2 linked regions of the Lepisosteus oculatus genome follow. The protein of the gene in region 1 interacts with the protein of each later gene in a pairwise test. Links are inferred from orthologs where the notes say so. Each region holds a gene or a part of one and is shown in the gene's direction. Other genes may lie near its edges.

Evidence for each region.
Region 2: the proteins of skp1 (region 1) and fbxl8 interact in binary tests that used the Homo sapiens proteins (3 or more experiments, as listed by UniProt). The link is inferred for Lepisosteus oculatus from reciprocal best matches to the Homo sapiens genes SKP1 and FBXL8.

The regions. Positions count from the first base shown.
Region 1 is NC_090706.1:23,939,828-23,950,051, forward strand, and holds the start of skp1 (S-phase kinase-associated protein 1), read left to right. Parts: upstream 1-5,963; 5' UTR 5,964-6,074; intron 6,075-6,808; coding exon 6,809-6,905; intron 6,906-7,606; coding exon 7,607-7,680; intron 7,681-8,249; coding exon 8,250-8,393; intron 8,394-9,996; coding exon 9,997-10,137; intron 10,138-10,224. UniProt on the Homo sapiens protein: Essential component of the SCF (SKP1-CUL1-F-box protein) ubiquitin ligase complex, which mediates the ubiquitination of proteins involved in cell cycle progression, signal transduction and transcription.
Region 2 is NC_090715.1:940,268-950,268, reverse strand, and holds fbxl8 (F-box/LRR-repeat protein 8), read left to right. Parts: upstream 1-5,275; 5' UTR 5,276-5,604; coding exon of another isoform or gene 5,605-5,621; coding exon 5,622-5,662; intron 5,663-6,204; coding exon 6,205-6,348; intron 6,349-6,552; coding exon 6,553-6,648; intron 6,649-6,808; coding exon 6,809-7,790; 3' UTR 7,791-8,016; downstream 8,017-10,001. Other genes in the region: tradd (tumor necrosis factor receptor type 1-associated DEATH domain protein), read right to left, coding at 52-332, 1,195-1,345, 1,480-1,500. UniProt on the Homo sapiens protein: Substrate-recognition component of the SCF (SKP1-CUL1-F-box protein)-type E3 ubiquitin ligase complex.

The DNA.
Region 1 (10,224 bases):
GTGATTATGCAAACATGATCAGTTAGGTTAAGGTTTTCATATACAGTAAAAGGTATATTTTGAGACTTGCTTACAGCATATCAGCCTGAAGATTGAGCGTTTTCTGCTATACTGGGAAAATAAATTTAAGTGTGTGGTTTCCTGTCAAGAACTCAAAAGTTGTAGTGCAGTGTTTTATGTGCTAAGCATAACAAGCACTTAACTGCAAGCAATTCACAGTGATAATGAAGAGAAATTAGTTTTGTGGAAGGTTCGCTGGCATTTTATTAAAGAGACTGGGGCTGATCAACACTCCCCTATCCACTGCCCCTAAAAGACAAAGACTTATTTTCTCACGGTTTCAAAGGCGGCACTTTTCTCATTTCAGTTCTTGCATCACTTATATTTGCCTTGGCTAATCCCCTCATATATTATACATTCGTCCATTATGCTGCTTGTTAGTGGTAAGGTTCAGAGGCATTGTTACGATAATTACAGTTAGAACAATACTTACATTTATATAATAGCTTTACATCCCAAGGGATCCTAAACTGCTCTTTATATAGCAGTGAACCAACTATCACTGGAAGAGTAGCATCCATATGAGTGATCCATCATCACACAGCAGGTCAGGAAGAGAAAAGAATGACTTGAGCTGATTTAAGGGGTAATTTAGGGAGTTATGATTGTCTAAAAGTAGAATTTATCCAGGACACCAGGAGATGAACACCTATTGCATTTGCATCTTTAATGACCAAATAGCCTGCATCTTATTTTCACGTGTTGGACAACATCTTTTATAGCTCCAGGTCACTGGTATGGAAATTCTGGTCCAACACGCATCTTATAAGGGCAACCTACTATATTCTTTTTTTGAGGTCTTCTGAACTTAAGAGGCCGAACTTTGCTTTGTTTCCGAGATCTGATCTGTGGAGTGCAATGGGTGAAACTACCGGATTGAGCTGTTTGGGATTCATCTGTATGCACAGCAGTCCAAGTGGAAACCTCTCTAACCCAGATGGTCCTGTTGACGTGCACCTCAAAGGGGGTTAAAGGCAGTGGGCCAGGATTTGCATCTTCATTGTGCTGTCTTGTAAATCAAGAAACTTATTGGCAGGCAGTAGCCTTTTAACTTCATGTCCTCGCTCTCAAACATAACTTCACTGAAGTCTACTGTATGAGAAAGAAAGTGTCACAAATCATGTGCTTTAATTCATTTTGCCAGTAGGAGCAGTATCCTAGTGTTTTTCAGAACACTTTCATGTAGCCTGTTGTAAAATCATAGCTGTGTTGTGTCAAGCTGCATTTCAGAGATCTGTATTTGTAAACTCATGTCTTAATGCGTACCCCTTCAGGTAAAACCTCCAAAATCTTTGAAAGAATCGGTTTTCTTTAAAAGTTGCCAGAAACTAACCGGGTTCTTTGTCGAGTTTTAATGGCTGTTTGTCTTTTTAAAACTGGGGTTGAATCAAGCTGTTTTATAACATCCCTTCTCTTTGGATGCAATCTGGCTTCAATTATTTAAATATCAAACGCTGAGAAAAACTGGAATGGCTCACGTCCAAATAATGTAAGCAGTTCTTGAAGAAAGGCAGCAATTAGAAGAACTGTTTCCATGTGTGACTACCTTTGTGATTCCTTTTCCATTTTGAACAAATCTGTTCAATTTCCTTCTGTATAGATTATTAACAGAAGTTGAAATTGTTTATCAAATTAATAATAGTTCTGACGAGATAAAAGACTGACATTTTACTCTGGTTACATAAAATAATCAGAACCTAGACTCAATTATTTGGATTTTTTGTTTGTGAGCCAGACCTCAGTTATTAGCTCACATTTTCACCAGATGAATGCAGATGCAGCTTCTAGGATAGCTTTTGTCTCTCATGGGGAGCTATGGGGCCCTGCATTCAATTCCTGGGGTGCTGTCTGTGTGGGGTTTGCATGTTCTCCTTGTATTCACATTGCTTTCCTCCCACAGTCCAAAGACGTGCTAGTAGGTTAAGTCTCCTGTAAAACTGGCCCTGGTGTGAGAGGGTCTGTGTCTGTGTGTGCACTACACTTGACTGGTGTATCCTGCCTTGTACCCAATGCTTCCCAGTAAAGGCTCTGCTCCACCATCCTGATATGGATAAGCAGTTATTTAAATCATTGGTGGTGGTGATTATGGTTAATTCATGGTAAACTCACACTTGTATAGTGCAAGAATAGCTACATCTCTCCACAGAGTATTACACCCTATCACATTTTACTGGTCACACGTAAATCAATTTGTAGAGACTTCAAAGTATATGTGACATTTGAGAAATTAAAAAAAGTGAATTTGTTTAATTAGGAGAGGAAGGCTGTCAGGTGTGGTCATCACCCCAGTTTGGGCATTCACCCTTTATGTGTGCTGTTCCTTATTCACTCACTTGATAAACCAAGAAACTGACAGACAGTTCATGTTCTGGGAGTCAAAGCCACGCCACACCAACCCAGGAAAGTCAATTCCATATGATCCATCTGCAGGGTTTTCAGACTATAGTGGCTACAGCATGAGAAATGGCTCGAGGAACCAGTGCATCAGTGCAATGACTGCAGCCCATCGACTGCATTTGCATGATCTGCATACTTCGTGGGGTAATGTTGACAGCCAAGAGGTGAAATCGCCATCCTCTGATCCAGAGCACAACTTTGGTGGTGCTGAAGAGACTAGTGGAGCCATTTTGCTCTTCACAGACCTGGTGGTAGTGGGTGTGTGGAAATGTCGGGGTGAGTGCTATGTTTATTGTTGAGTTTTTCAAGCCAACCAGTGGGGTGGTGAATATTTGAGGACTAGAGTAGGAACCTCTTTCAACACAAGGACACCTCTGGTGCAGACTAAGGGACACCTTACTTCTCAGAGCTACTTTGATCAATTCTTTCCGTTGCAATAATAATAAAAAACATTATGTTATGTAACGCCTTTAAAGGTGGTTCTCAAGGCGCTTTACAGAACAACGGGAAGATTAAATACACAATGAGGAGACGGTAGATGGGAGTACTGAATACGGTATATGCAGAGGGGTATATAACAGAACCAGTTAAGTAAGAGAAAGGTTTTGAGTGTAGATCTGAAAGATTTTAGGGAAGGTGACTCTGATATCCTAAGGGATAGAGTTCCAAAATTTTGGGGAACAACAGGAGAAGGCCCTTTCACTCATAGTGTGTATATGGGCTTGGGGGACAGATAGGAGACCAGAATTAGAAGAGTGGAGGTTGCAAGGTGGGGGTAGGACGATGGTAGCTCAGACAGGTACTGAGATGCTAAGCCATGGAGAGCCTTACAGGTGAGCATGAGAATTTTGAAGTTGACACTAAACCTGACTGGAAACCAGTGCAAGGACTCCAGGATAGGAGTAATGTGATCACTTGCACTTCTGTTATTCGCTGCTACAGGACGGTCTTGAATTGTTGGCTTTTTTCACAGAATGACAGCACATCGCTCAAATTCCTATGGTACCCCTTAACGAACAGGTGAGATCTTGCCATTGTCATCTTTTTTCTCCTGTTCTGAGCATCTTTTGACATCTGTGGGGAAAAACAATGTCATTGACAGGAGACAGCCCTCCGCTACTTGCTGAGTTTGCACAGGAAGAGCGAGAGAATATCTGCTGTATAAGTCAACACTGCAAGCCATGTTTGCATTAATGTGCAATGGAGTCATACCCGATAACTCGCAATGTTTTTTTTACACTGTCACGTTTAAGACTGAACACTTGTCATGAGTACCTGATCTGTAATCATTGATCTGGTGTGTGTCTAAAAGTGTTCAAGATTCACAAACTTGTCGATATTCTGTATTCTTTCTGTAGGTAATTGTTTGCTGTTTCACTTTGGGATTTCTTGCTGTTTCACTTAAGGATTTCAAATCTATGTTTTCCTTTAATAATTCTACTTGGGGTTTAGAAATCTAAAAGGATAATATATGTGGAATAAAAATATGGTGGTGTGATCCTTACACATTTTGAAGATTACTCCTGCCATCTGGTGGCCAACCGGCCTACATCTGTCTCATGTTCCAAGTGTCTTAAAAGTTGAATTACGCAATTATTACTAGAAATGTGGATTCACACTTAATTATGATTCATTTAAAGATTAACCCCAAAGATTATAAAGATTATAAACATGAATAGAGTGTGAAAGAAGTGTTTTTATGTCCATATCACATTAAATAGTAGAAACTTGATTTTCTTATTTAGACTTAGACATTTTACCACCATGTTAATGTATTCACTACCACATTGACTGTTTAGATGCTGAAAAGCATTATTCATTTTGCTGTTAGGAATTTTGGCTGATGGCTTACATCGTCAATTCATTAGCACTTCTGAAAATACAAAATATTTAAAGAAATATATTTATTCTAGAGGGGATATTGGTGAAAGTATCGTTGAATCGTTTTCTAATTTTTGATTGTCAAATTGGGTACAAAATTCTTATTTTGTCTTACAGATCATTCAAAGAAATTCACTGAGATTATAAAAGAGCACTCTTACTGAAATGATTGAGATAAGTGACCACATAATTCTTTATCACAGGGACAAGCAATATATCTCTAGTAGGGCAGGTGTGTCTAGTGGTTAACTATGTGTCTTGGAAATAGCAGCACCTGAAGAGCTGGAATATTGTTGATGTGGTCCTATTAAGTCAATAATGAGCTGATTTAGGATAAGATCAGAGATGGAATAAAATCCTGAAGACTCACCAACAGTCCTGCACCAGGATTGGCCACACCAGCAAACATAATTATCTAGTTAAGATAGTTAAAAAATAAATCCATCCATTTTCTAACTGCTTCTTCTAATTCAGGGTTGTGGAAGAGCCAGAGCCTATACCCGCAAGCAACAAGGGTACACTCTGGACAGGATGCCAGACCCTCGCAGGCAGGCAGACAGACACATACACACACTCACATTCACATCAGGGCATGTTTTCCAAAAAACCAATTAACTTACCAGTGTGTTTTTGGACTGGTTTTGGAGCACCTGGAGAAAACCCATGCAAACCCCACGCAGATAGCATCCCTGGTCTGGGCTCAGTGGTCTGGGCTCAGGGCCTAAGAGCAGCAAGGCAGCAATGCTAACCACTGCACCACTGTGTCACCCAAATACAAAATAAACATCTTGGCTTAAACCGGAATTGTCTCTTTTTTGGAAATAAAAGTAATCTGAACGTGCACTGGTACTGGTATGACATTCTTCAACAATAATGGGGCATTGTTATTGTTCACTTTTAATCCCCATACACACAACAGAATAATAAAATTAGAAATGTCAAATTAATTTCACTCTGTAGTGATAAGGCAAGTGGCAGGAAGAGCTACAGGTGAACCTAATCAACACAAATTTCCTAGATATGAAAAAAATCAGAGGCAACCTATAACATCAAATTAGTTATTACATCATTATACACATAACATTATTATAATGTATCCAAATCTAGTTATCAGTAACAATATAATTTATTTTTTAGCTCTCATCAGTGATTTACGGGGTAGATAATTATTTATCTATATGAATCAATCCCAAATAATACAATGTTTGATGGAATAAATCAAAGGACTCAGGTTAAAAAGTGACTCAACTCAAACAGTAATATATTTATAGCAGTATTTTTTTTCGACAAGTGGCAAGAATGATCGGATTATTTAACAATACAGCCGATATTTTACAAACTCAAAATTGAAAGGATCAGAAAACGCAAGACCAAGAGGTTTCGTTTTGAAAAGACACATCACTCCTCCATTTACTGCATATTCTAGAATAACGCTGATTGCAGTCTGGGTGATTGCCTGAACCATAAATAAGAAGATATTTTAAATCAGAAAATCTAAAAGTAAAGAAGTAATATTATTTTATAAATAGTCAAACTGGTAATGTTTAAAACTAATGCAACGTCAATCAAATTAAAAAAAACATAGACCGCCGTGACATAAATTAAACCGGCAATATCAGAAGACAGCTAACTTCGTCGTCTTTCGCATACAAAAGCAACGGATTATAGTAGTAGTTGCTGTATTTGGGCCTTGCTATCGTGTCGTCTTGTTTTTGTGAAATAATACCATATTCACCGTAAGTCAGTAGCTGAATTGATATGTATACTATACGTGTTTTGTTGTTTTTTTTTATTTTAAGCAACCTCTCAATTTATCTGTCTGGCTTAAAACAACAACTGCTTACTGTAATGAATTACTGTTGCTAAGAGAGGCCTTTCTCGTGAGGCGCTTTCTTTATCGAGAAACGTTCCGTGTTGACGTTTAAATAATTGGCTTTTTAAATTCAGATATGTTATATAAAAAGTTCTATTATGGATTTTTAGCCATAGTGGTGTGTTTCTAAATTAGCGAAACCTTGGGTATAAGTGGTGGTAACGATATTAATGGCATTCTTCAAAATGCTAAGGTAGAAAGCTAAATTGGTTGTACAAAGAGCAAAGGGTAGTCTTTACATTATTTGTATAGTGAAACCTGTAAAGGCATATTTAAAAGACCTTCAAATTGGTCTCTTCTGTATATTCGTGAGCTCAGTAATATCGTGTCCGCTTAGTCTGTTTTGTGGCTTCATTACGCTGAAAATCATGCATCATCATTATGACAAGAATGATTTTTTTTTACGTACACATTCAAATCCGTTGACAAATAACTTAATACTGAAATAATGGTAGTACTCAAACGTCTCGATTACTAAATATGTTCTGTTTACTTAAAACATAAGCCGTTTCTGTCCAGTATTGAGGTGCTTGGGGCTAAATACAACATTTAGTTTTAGCTAGATGTCACAAAATCTCCACCATATTTACTTTTCAGATGCCTACTATTAAACTGCAGAGTTCTGATGGAGAGATATTTGAAGTTGATGTTGAAATTGCGAAGCAGTCTGTAACCATTAAGACTATGTTAGAAGGTAAGAAGTTCACATAAACTCCTGTGTATGACGTTTTCATTGTTTAAACTGTTAAAACATGAATTTACAAAACCAAAGGAGATTTGTGAGAGGAAAGAACTTCTCAAAGCAGTACTTTGTAGTACTGAATTTGTTACTGTTAAGGAAATATTTTTTTTTCCTCTCAAACATAGCATGTTGCTGTAGAAAACAAGGGACTGTTGTCAGTTATCAAGAATTTTACATTATTTTGTTATAGTTATTTTGAATAACTGAATTTTGGGGAAGCATAATGGGCCTTAGTTTAAAGTTTTTTAGATAAGGGTCTGAGAGGATACATATAAGCTATATTTTTAAGGAGAGTGTCCTAGTTGTAATATGCTCTGTTCACTTTTTATAATCTGCAAAAGAAATAAGATTTTTTACTGTTGAGAATTGTAGTGTACAGCTAGAAACAAGTTTATTTTTAGTGGATTATGTAGAGGATTGCATAAAAGAAAAGCTTGGAAGTTAACAGGTTTATTTCTTCAAGGACAGAAGTTTGTTTTACCTTTTTTCCCCAGAAGGGGAACTGTGAAATGAATAATTGCAATGGTTGCCTAGTCTGGTTGTGTAAACAGACCTTTGGATCATTTATGGGTCCTCAGAATTTTAGAAAACCTGCTGGAAGGTAGATCTCATTTTCTGACATTGATATACTGTGTTCGCTAATTTTGGCACAGACTTAGGCATGGACGATGAAGGTGATGATGATCCTGTTCCACTTCCCAATGTTAATGCAGCTATTCTGAAAAAGGTAACGTTTTTTATTTTCTAATTTTAAATACAGTATGTCTGTACATATGGCTAATAAAATGGTCTTATATACAATTTCTTGCATTAGGAATTTGTCTTTTCGTATACCCCAGCTTGCTCTCCATGAGACATAGAGACAGGGAAAAATGTTTGGGGGTCAGAGCGCAGGGTCAGCCATTTATACGGCGCCCCTGGAGCAGTTGGGGTTAAGGGCCTTGCTCAGGGGCCCAACAGAGTAGGATTCCTCTGCCGGCCACAGGATACAAACCGGCAACCTTCCAGCCACAGACACAGATCCTTAACCACAGAGCCACCGCACCACCCATGTCTTTCCACGGGATAGTTTCTCATAATGAAGTAGTGAGTGTAGCTATAACATTTCGGCTGGATGTTAGATTAGCCCGTAGTTCCAGGGAATTCTGTTTCTTTGCTATGTTCTGGTATGTACTGTATGAAATGTATCCATGCTCCCTTCAGATAATTACAATTGAAATTAATAATATATATGAATTTATCTGAAAATTCCTTTCCGATTCCTGAAAACTTGTTTTTCTCCTTTTAATTGTTTAGGTGATTCAGTGGTGCACTCATCACAAAGATGACCCCCCTCCTCCTGAAGATGATGAAAACAAAGAGAAGAGAACAGATGATATCCCTGTGTGGGATCAGGAGTTCCTGAAAGTTGACCAGGGAACACTTTTTGAGCTTATCCTGGTGTGTATTATTAATTCTTCATTGGGTTTGAAAAGTGTGAACATTAATGTCTTTGTAGGTTATTTCAGGTACTTAATTGTCTAAGTGTGTGCTTAAGAGTTGGTAATAATTAGTTAGAAACTCAATAAAATTAGATCACTAGGCTCCTTGCTTTTGTTGTAATTTATAACAGCAGTGCAAATAGTTGTCCACTGAAAATATAATCCAACTTAGTGATTCAACTGTAAAGCACAAATTGGTTTCTTCTGCTTGTTTGTATGAGTGACTTGTGTTCTGTAAAAGTAGTTTTACTTGTAAGGCTGTTGTGAAATTCTTGGCTCTGATGTGGCTGTTTTGCAATCAGTATAGCTGTCCCACTCCTGTTTTGTTATGTAATACATACTTAATTTGTAATCTGAGCACATTTGACCTTTGTGAACTAGCTTTAAATGCTTTGCATCTTTTTCCAGTACGTTGCTTTACAGAAGTCAGTGTCATCTTATACACAATCAGGAGTTGCAGTTTCTATTTTAAAGCATCAACAAATTCCTCACAACCTTCTCTCATAACTCAAATAAGATCCCGAAACAGAAGCAAAACCTTGTTTAATGATGCTTTTCCAATACTTAATCATTTTAACTTGGTATGACAGTAGTTTGAAATAAGTTACAATTTTGATGTGTTTATGAAGAAGAGATTAAAACTGAGTCAGCATCATATACAAGATGGTGTACATGAAGAATGTGTTTGGAAGGCTGCAAATTTCAGTTTGCAGTGGACCAAAGTGAATGGAGCTGGAAAAATCATGGCGTAAAGATGTTGGTTGTTTTGAACTTGCTTTGGTCTACATCATGTGACATTGCTAGTCACAAACAAAAGTTCTTTAGAAATGTGCTATATCATAGGTTTTGTATCCTCTTCAACTGTTGGTCTTGCATTGAAAACTAGCAGTTTATTAAGATCATCTATAATTTCTAAATCCCTGATGATTATTGCTATAAAGATCTTTAAATTTAGTTTTTCCCATAATCTCAGAAGTTTTACTGATTTGTCTACTCGCCTTGTTCAGTATCTTTGTAATGGATAGATTTAACATGTTTTTTTTTTTCCAGTTGGTAAGAACAACCCCAGTTTTAAGAGCATGTGAAATATCCAAGTTAAAGCAAAATATATAACAAAATCTTTGAATCTTTAAGTGCTACTGGATGTCCAGCTGATTGGTTAAAATAAGAATGTTAGATTAAGCAGGGCCTTTTTTCAGATAGTTCTTTCAGGCATGCAAATCTTTAATCTTTCTAGTAGAAATGTGAAAAAGGTGTATTCAATACATTTGTGTTATAAAGTGCAGTTACTCACTTGCTAACCATTACACACTTAACTGTCTCCTTTACTGTTTTTAACAGTTATGGTAGTAAAAAAACCTTCTATTAGTTGTGGCTCCCACAGCAATACATTTATTAGCCTTTCTAATGTCCTGTTTTGTCAGTAATGACTGCCATTTTGTCAGTCATTAGACTGATTATGAACTGTTTCTCATTCCTGCAATATCGATTTGCCTGAAAGTATGTGCCTTCCAGAGTTTTGATCTGAATATAATGTTTTTACATGTATACATCTTTTCAAGGCTGCAAACTATTTGGACATCAAGGGACTGTTAGATGTTACATGCAAGACAGTTGCTAACATGATTAAAGGAAAAACTCCAGAAGAAATTCGAAAGACCTTTAATATCAAAAATGACTTCACTGAGGAAGAAGAAGCACAGGTAATTACTTCAGTTTGTGTGTAGACGTGGTTAACGTTGATATCCTATGCATTACATCCATCCATTTTCTTAACCGCTTCATCCAGT
Region 2 (10,001 bases), on another chromosome or scaffold:
ACTTCTGCCCAGTGTTAAACAAACAATATAAAGCACAAAGCCGTTTCTCACCTGCGCCCTGTTAACATGATGGAGGCAAAGATCCACATCTGGAAGGCAGTTGTCCAGTGTCTCACTCCCAGCTTTGAGCTGGGTCTCGAAGGTGGGCTCCTTCAGGCCGGACAGTGTCCGGCTCAGGTGCTGGCCAAAGAACTGCTGCACCAGCCCGCTGGCGTAGCTCTGCAGGAACTTCCTGCACACCCCCTCATCCATGAACTTGATCTGGATGCCCAGGCTGGGCTGGGCATCGTGCAGCTTCAGAATCTCGTACCCCTCCAGGCCACCTGCCGCATCTGGAGGAGGGGGAGGTTATGAAAATATGTTTACCATCACACAGAAACGTGCAGATAAAACAATAATAAACCAGATCAGCTCCAGAACCCTGCAGGAAGCCGGTGACTACAAGAGGAGCGTCCCTCCAGCCCCCACAGAGCCTGGGTCAAGGACGATGGGACAGGTGTGTGTGCATCAGGTGATCACGGGCAGAACCAGGGCCCACCGGCCTGCGAGAGGTCAACTGGCCAGCCCGCTCCCAAATACCTCACAGTAACCGGACCAGAACCCTACGTTTATACCATGCAGGCACTTCAATTCCTGTTCCCACCGGGATCTGAGAGCCAGAGGTTTTGAGTACAGGGGCCTACAGGCTGTAACAGGGAAGCTAACGGATTTCAACCACTGATAAGGGTCAGGGGTCACAGGAAGCCCCCGAACAAAACCATTAGATTGAGAAACTGGAAGAAACTGGCACGGCACTCAAAACAAAGTAAAACGTGGTTCAGTTTCACAGCCTGCAGTGGACACGCACACTGGAGACTGGGGTCTGGGGTCTGGTCACTGGGGTCCCCCTCACTTCTTCCTGCCTTTCTAGCATCCTGCAGCACTGCGCCTCACTGGACCGCCTTGTCCTGCCGCTCCTGGTGGAAATCGCCACCGCGCACGGTGCCCACGATTTAATTCAGGCCGGAGCAACAGTCAGCTCCCTACTTGCTTAACGGATTTCAGCACCGTTCAATTAAAGAAAGACTTCCCACTGCCCAGTCCTACGATTACTCAAATAAAATTCTTTTGGCAAGGGCTGACAAGGAGAAGGAAGACACTTGCAAGCCTTCCCCCATCGCCAGGCCGACACTCAAGAGGCGTCTCGCCGCCCACCTGACAGCGTCAGCTTCACGGCTTTGAACACCGCGAACCTCTTCTCTGGGTCCCTGAACAGCGCGGTGAGATCCTCCTCCCGAGAGCACGAGCACAGGAAGAGGAACAGGCTGCCCGACCACACGCCAGCGGCGCAGTCCGACATCACTTTCTGGAAATGACAACATACAGGAGATTAAAAGCTTGTGTGAAAAAAAAGCAAAGGCCAGTGTGCTGCTTACACAGGTCAGAGCAAGGACTTAAAAACCCGCCACCTCCTCCTCCACCGCCCTGCGGCACAGTTACCTTTTCCTCCATCGTTTCCATTGGCCGGTCATCACTGTCCACTCTCTTCCGCCCGGACCGCGTCTCCTTAAAATGCCATGACTCCTGCAAAAGCCACCAGCAGGAGCGTCAGGCGGCGAGCGCAAGACTGGAGCGCGGCGCGAGCGGACGGCCTGCCTTCAGCCAGGACCGCCGCACTGGACACAACCCGGAACACGCCTGCCCCGGGCCTCACGGGCCGCAACCCGTCATGAAGCTCACAATCGGTACCACAACAGCGCCCTCCTGGCACTCTCCTGCGAGAGCGCGCCCTGTTTCCCATGAGCCTGTGCCAGCCTTCACGGAAGAACCAGGGTGCACGGGTCAGGCTAGCCAGCCCGGTCCCAGATACCTCACAGGAACCGGACCAGAACCCTACGTTTATACCATGCAGGCACTTCAATTCCTGTTCCCACCGGGATCTGAGAGCCAGAGGTTTTGAGTACAGGGGCCTACAGGCTGTAACAGAAAACTAACGGATTTCAACCACTGACAAGGGTCAGGGGTCACAGGAAGACCCCGAACAAAGTGAACGTTAAAAAACTGGCCGTGTAAACAAAAACAAAGTTGAAAGCCGTCTGTTCTGAAACTCTCCCCTTTACTGAGAGAACAGATGTGTCGCTCCAGGGCCAAGAGCAGGGGGCCTTCTTAGCCGTGGGTCCGTGGGTCTCGCATCACAATGGCCAGGTGTGTCGAGCTGACCGCAGGTCCGGAGACAGCTCGAGACTGACCTCAGGCCCCGCGCACTCTCTGCTCTTCCTGATGACCAGAAAAAGAGAAGGACTCTGCGACTCTGCTGCCAAGAGGACAGCTGTACAGTCTGAACACCATCCGCCGGCTGTACACTTCAGGTTTCCTGTAAGAATGGCCGCTGCTTAAAACTCTGAAGAGTCTACTTGCTCTTGTCAGAAATCGCTTTTGCTCTACTGCCATGACCGCAAACTGGCTGAGTTCGCTTTCACAACAATTCTTCTTAAAAGCTTTCGATCTCCACAGTTTGAACTTAGCATCCATTTATCTGGGTTTGATTTCGAGAAACATGCGATCGGGAAACGTCTTCAAACCATGCGCTTTTTACCCTCAGGACTAGGACAGAGGGAAAACCGAAAGTAAACTTTGAGAACTCCAAAGCATGTTTACATAAAGGTACCGTAAAAAGACTGATATATTTATCTGGGAAACTGGATATATTATAACCTGTGAAATCACAAATGAACATAATATACCCGTCAACTTACCGCTCTTTAACAACGCAAAGCGATTTCCTGTGTGGCGGCGCGTATCGCTGGGCACGAGTTGCTCATTAGAGAGGAGCTCCAGCGCTCCGGCAGTCGTGAGCTGCAGGTCGGGCTGAGCCCTGCAGATCCAGGAAGTGCCCGGAGCGCGGAAGAGCGAGCGAGCGAGCGAGCCCTCGCGGCCGGCCGGGCTGGCCCTGGCTCCACAGTCAGGTACGCGCGGCCGCCCCTGCACGGGGGCAGCTCGGGTCACATGACCGCTGGCCCCGAGCGCCGCATTCTAGACTTCAGGTCTGCTGTATGGAGACTATGCATTTTAGGTCATTAGCTCTTAGTTCTAACCTGCAGCTTGATTTACCTGTCTTTCTCAGGGGGGATTCTTGAATCGTAATGATTGTTCTTATATCTAAGAACATACATTCTTATATCTTCCTATATCTGGGTGGAGCAGTGGCTCTGTGGTTAAGGATCTGTGCCTGTGGCTGGAAAATTGCTGGTTCAAATCCCACAGCTGGCAGAGGAATCCTACTCCGTTGGGCCCCTGAGCAAGGCCCTTCACCCCAACTGCTCCAGGGGCGCTGTACAATGGCTGACCCTGCGCTCTGACCCCAAGCTTCTCTCCCTGTCTGTGTGTCTCATGGAGAGCAAGCTGGGGTATGCGAAAAGACAAACTCCTAATGCAAGAAATTGTAAAGGGTTGATAAAATGATGCTATTATCTAATGATAGGGTCCTGTGTAAAAGTAGGAATACAGAAAGTGAGCTTTGAAATTTGACATGTTAACTCAAGTTATAAAAAAATTAATTTGATATATTAAATTGGGCCAATAGAGTTTATAACACCCACTCACGACACTCTATTCCCGGCTGGGCTGCAGGGCTGACTGCGCCGCAGGACACTGGACAGCCCCGCAGAGGAACGGCTCTGTGCAGCGGTCAGCATGCAGGCGGTGCTGACAGATCGCAGGACAGTCGCAGGCTATTAAATCCCATGGTGTTTCACGAGCATGAAAATAGATGTAAAGAAATACAACGAATGCTGTGTTTGTCTTGTCATACATAACCAAGGGTGTGTTATAAAACAAGTGAGTGATATTCATTCATCTTCTGCTTACATTTCCAACACGAGATTGTAATGGAAACAATAAAGATCAGCTTGAATGTCACTGTTTCTCTTTACTTCACTTTGGTTTGAAAATGCAGAGTGCTGAGGCCCACTACAGGTACACAAGCTATGAAAAATAACAGAATTGTTCTCCAGAACAGTCTTGTTTTCTCATAGTAGTCTATGACAGTAACACATGCTTCAGCATATTATCACTGACCCTAGGATTGTTTTTGGACTAAGACATGATCGACATGGCCCAATTCTTTCCATAAAATACAGTGCCGATCTTTCTCCATTATTGTGCAATGATTTTGCCTGACCAGTCATGGTCTGCGAAGGTCCCACTGATCCATAATTTCCTAAAAAAGTGGAAATGTTTATTGGGAACAAGCTGTTCCCTGTAATTACTGTACAAGACAGGAAACATACTTTACCTTTCACCTTACTGTCCTGGTTTTATTTTATATTTATTTCTCCACTCTATTAGGAATTTCTCTTTTGGTATATCTGAAAAACAGATACAAAATATTATTATCCAATATAGAACACTATATCCTCAAAAATGTATTAATTAATTACAGACTTCATAAAATAAAGAAGAGACTTGTTTGTACTGCTATATTAGCCTCCAGTGCTTCTGACAATAACCCAGCAGAGTCAGGATCTAATACTGAAAACTGAACCTGTCTCAGACACCACACGATAAGGGCCTGCAAGCATCTGGGACTTTCAGATGCTAGACTCCACTTGCTCAGAACTACACAATAGCAATCATGACTGACATACATCCCTTTGCAGAACGTGTAATGGAAATAGACTTGGGGTCAGAAATATACTAGCCTATACCGTTTTAATGTGTATGTTTGTTTTAAAACATTTCCAGCTATGCTTAAACAACTGTAAACCAAACATAACCAAAGAATTGCCATGCAGTCTTAGAAATGTTGCAGTTTTCCAATATGTTTAGCATTCCATACCAGACTGAAGGCTCTCCTCTATTTCAGATGAGACTATGAATTCCTTCCTCATTGTGCCATTATGACACACAATCATTTTTGTCGAATGATTGGCGAATATCTCCAGTCTTGGATCTGGTAGGAGTGCACAGCACGATTGTCTGTATAGACCACTTGTTAAATTAAAGAAACCCACAACACCGTAATTGTTCTATGTCATTAGCAGTCGTTCTTATTTGCTCATAAACATGTTTATACTGCTTGTGTACCATAACCCTTAAGGTTTAAACTGTTAAGTCCGTACTTATGTTGCTATACGTACAATTCACGATTGTATTCCATGGAAAGAAATTTTCCATTACACGGAATTCCCGCAGAGTAACACACGGGTGTTTCACACCTCCTGCCTAGGTGGCGCTAGCGGGTGGAATGAGCATTATAGCAATTCACACACTCGTCTTTGTCCGCCTCCGCTCGTCGGTTGTTTTGAAGGCGAGGCTGCTCCAGCGCAGTAGAGTTTGAGAAACTGAACTGAAGTGTACCGCTTTCTTCTGGTGTCCGTGTCACCTGATGTATTTTTCCAGCTGACTTTACGGAGAAATTGAACTTTAAAAGATCTACTGCAGAATCAGTGCAGAACTCCTCCAATCGTCATCTCGCGAAGCAGCCACCAATTACGTAGTAGGAAGGGAGGACGCCAGCTGTGATTGGTTGAGGGAGACGCCTGGGTGCCCGCAGGGGGCGGTCCTTCCTTTGTGGCCTTGTTTTGTCGTGACGTCACGCCGGTAGCGAACACAGCAGCCTTGCTGATGAGCAGAGGGGAGCTATGCAGGACAGAGAGAAGAGTAGGGGTGGCCGGGAATACCGGTAAGATACTTTGCCAAATCACAACGGACAGTACAAACATGGAAGCAGAAGTGGGGGGTCCACAATCTTTTGGCGTTGGAAGCCTGTGATGAGTGAATTCTGAGTAAAATGTGTTCAGTCTGACCTCCAGCAATGAGACTCTGTTCGGGATAGTTATATCCTCTGTGTAAGATGTAAGCCTCCACAACTGTTAAAAATCCCTTGTCACGCCTTGATTGATCCATAATTGGACAGAAAAGAGAAAAATACACTGTTCTCTAATGAGCAGCTCCGCGGGTTACCTGAAGTCCGCCATACTTGTTGGTACAATTCAGTGTTTCTAAATAGTTTTATTTCTACTGTAGCTTGTTGATCTCATCTAAGCAAAACATTGTCTCCCACCTCTTCCCCCCAAGACCTTTCACTCTTCACCTCATTCTCAAGTGGGCTGTCAAACAGGCCGGAGTTATCAAATTAATAATAAAACGGGGAGCTGTATATTATTTTGAAATCTTTCCTGTTTTCTAAGTATGGGAATGATCAGAGCCCCTCTGTGTGCCCAGGAGCCTGGTGGAGTTACCAGAGGAGATCCTGGCTCAGATCTTCTCCTTCCTGCCGATGTGCGACAGGTACAGTGTCTCCCAGGTGTGCAGGTCATGGTCCCAGACGATGGCCAGCCCCTCCGTCTGGACCTGCACTGAGGTCAGGTGGGTCATGTTGTCTGAATGGGTAAAACCCAAAGGTGAAAGGTGGTAGTGTACATATTCACTGTATAAAAATTCACTATTATGCTGAGTCCCCACATGCAAGCATCCTGGAATGGTTAATCACACAGTTTGGTTGGTGTGTTCGCCATAGTGTAGGTGCCACCCATCCTGTTCAGAAGTTAACTAGCTTTATTGGTTCAGTAGGTTCTGTTGCTACAAGCTGAGTTGCATGGGACAGTCTGAAGCTCCAGCTCTAACTGGGAGCTGCTCACTGCTGATGAGGCAAAAAATGTCAGGCAGGTCAGTGTTCAGCTCCTAGTCCACTTTGCTCAATATAAGAGGAAAAGTGTATAGTTTATCAAATATATACACACCAAAATAGTTACAGAGGCAACAGATGTGTTCGGCTTTTTTTGTTTGATCCAACTAATGAAATCTGCAATCTGCATCACTCTTGCAGCTGTGAGTCTGGAACAGAAGACCCTGGCTTCCAGCAGTTCTGCAAACTGCTCAGGAAGGTTCAGCGCCTGAAAATTGTGCTCAGTGACCTAAAGGAAATAAACAACCGGAACACAGCCATTAAAATTTTAAATTACGCCACAGATCGAGACAACAGACTCCGAACCCTGTGCGTCTCCTGCACCGGTGAATTCCCCCTGTTCTATTCTGGCGAGGACATTTTGAGAAGCATTGAGAGTGTCTGTCTGAACAAAGCCAGCGGCCTCTCGCTCAGGGAGGTGGACTTCAGGGACATGCCTTTTACACTCAAGGACTCCCTGATTAGGAACATTGCGAGAAGGAGCCCCGACCTGCAAAAGCTGTATATCAATAATCAGACTCTTGTGTGCAATGTGACCGCGGAGACAATTAAAGAGGTGCTGGCACTGTGTCCTAAGCTGCGTGTTCTTGGGGTCTTCTACGCCAGCTTGTCAGAGAAAGTGCTGAGTGCTCTCCTGGAGCCTCAACGACCTCCATTCTCCTTATTGGAGTTGTACTGCGAGCGCACAGACAAGTACATTCCTGCCATTTCCAAAGAGTTCTGGACTTCTCTGTGTGCCAGACACCCCTTGCTTTCCGTCAACACCATCTTAAATCATACTCTACCTGCCAAGAAGATTCTAAAGATTCTGCAACCTGGGATTCCGATCAAAAACCTGGAGCTGATCACATACACCTATCTGGTGAGGGAGATCGGCTTTGTGGCGGAGAGCTACTGCAGCACTTTGGAGAAGCTGGTGCTCCAGACAACCTCCTCCGAAGAGCTGAACTCTGCCCTCATCAGCCTGGCCCTTTGCTGTGGTGGTCTCAGGGAGATCCATTGCTACTGCGTAGTGTCGCAGGACGTGGTCCAGGCCTTCCTCTCCAGCTGTCCCCACCTGTGGAGGTACACGCTGAAGACCGTGAAGGAGCCTCACCCCTGGAGGTGCACCGTGCTCAGGTGAAGAGGAAGAAGTTGTTGCACACCTGATCTGCTGGGTCCTCCCTTCTGTATGTGTGTTTTATGCCATTGTCTTTCAGTTGACTTGCACAGCACTATCTCTGTGTATGCTAGCCTCTAGCATAGGAGCCAGAGAGATTAGAGAAACCCACTGACCCCCACAGATTCAATAACCTAGCTCATGGTGATATGGTAGAGACAGTCCCTTAATAAAAATGGCTTTAAATTCAGATGTTTCCATTTTATTCATAGTCAACTACATGGTCTGGTGCATCATGGGGAATTAGAAAAAAAAGGTGGCTTATTTTATATACGTGGCTGGTATGGTCATCCGGTGGTGAGTGCTGCTGTCTTAATTCTCTTGGGTGCTGGCTAAGATTCGGAACAAGGGAACCTTCTGTGTGGGCATTGCATGTTCTCCCCAAGTCTGCCTAGATTTCTTGGGGTGCTCTGGTTTCCTGTTTCTCCCAACTCCTGAAGCCATGGTGGTTGAGGTAAACTGAGTGTCTAAGCGTAGTCCCAGCTTGTACCCTTTGTCATCTGGGTGAGGCTCTGTCTCATAGTGACAATCCTCAGGAGGAGGTGAGAGTGAATGGATTACAGAAATATAGATGTATGATGTAATGCTTTTTTATATTCTTATTCTCACGTGTGTGTAAAAGCCTGGTATTTAACACAATGTATACAGTATAGACAGTTGACAATGGTTTTAGAGGGTCAAAAGAAATGACACAAACACAAATGACAAGCATTAAGTATTTTCTAATCTATTTTTCTATTTTTCAATCAATAGATTACTTGGAGTTACTGCTAAATGTTAGTTTAGTTTTAACCTTCTTTCAGTGCCTTTTCCTAGATTTATCATGAAATGTAGCTCTTATATTTATGAAACAGATTTTTGTTTTATTAGCAATCCAGTATTTATTTTGAAGTGCAGTCGAACTGTTGCTGAAATTGTTATGGGAGAGTGTATTTATGAAGTCATTCTCTTAATTTAATTAAATTTCAACAAAACAGTGTCTGATGTCCTCTTTGATGGCGTGGAGTTACTTTATCAAACACAGATTTACATGCTGATTTCTTGTGGTAATTATTAAGGTTTCCCAGTATTGGAATACTGCATCCACAGAGCTTTTGGTGTAATACATCTGGATTATTGGGGATCTCTCTGGACATTGATCATGCAAAACTACAAGCCCTGAGCCGTGGAAAATGAGACATTTTAGTGTATTCGTTCCTCTGGGGCTCAAGGATAAATCTTTGCTCTCACCTGTTTCACACTTCTCACTGGCTCTCTGCTTTGTCACTCCAGCCTTGCAGCTCTTTCCATGCTTGGCACGCTCCTCTCCATACCTCTTCACAGTGTCCTGCCTCTTGTCCTGCTTGTTCTCCTCCGCTGCACCTCTGTGGGTGAACCAGATGCTCAGAAACATCAGGTTGCGGGCTCTGTGCCCACCTCTTCATGTCCCCCCTGTGCGCGCCGTACTGTATGTGTGTTTTGTTGTTCTTTTTTATGCTATTGGACCATGTTCTGGAATGGTTTTAAATTTGTCAGCTTGGATAAAGGCGTTGGCTAAACGAATGATGATAGAAATGTAATGGGGCTGAATCTGTCAATTCTTGCTCTTGAAACAAGTTTTGTGGTTTTGGTTAAAGTTACGTGCTTTGAAATAAACATGCTACTAACACTTTTAAGGTGCTTAGTTAAATAACAGTTATAATAATAATAATAATAATAATAATAATAATATTGCTTACACTTATATAGCCCTTTTCTGGACACTCCACTCAAAGTGCTGTACAGGTAATGGGGATCCCCTCCACCACCACCAGTGTGCAGCCCCACCTGGATAATGCGACGGCTATCAGTGGGGAGGAGAACAGAGTGATGAAGCCAGTTCATTGATTATTAGGAGGCCATGATTGGTAAGGGCCAGAGGGAAATTTGGCCAGGATGCTGGGGTAACACCTTTACTCTTTTCAGAAAACACCCTGGGATTTGTAATGACCACAGAGAGTTAGGACCTCGGTTTTATGTCTCAGCCAAAGGACAGTGACAGTGCCTTTTTACGGTATTGTGTCTCCATCACTATACTGGGGCATTAGGAACCACATAGACCGCATGGTGAGCGCCCCCTACTGTATTTTTATTTAAAAAACAGTCCTTAAATAGTCTGGTCATTTTACAATTTTGTTTGGGGGGGGACCACTATGG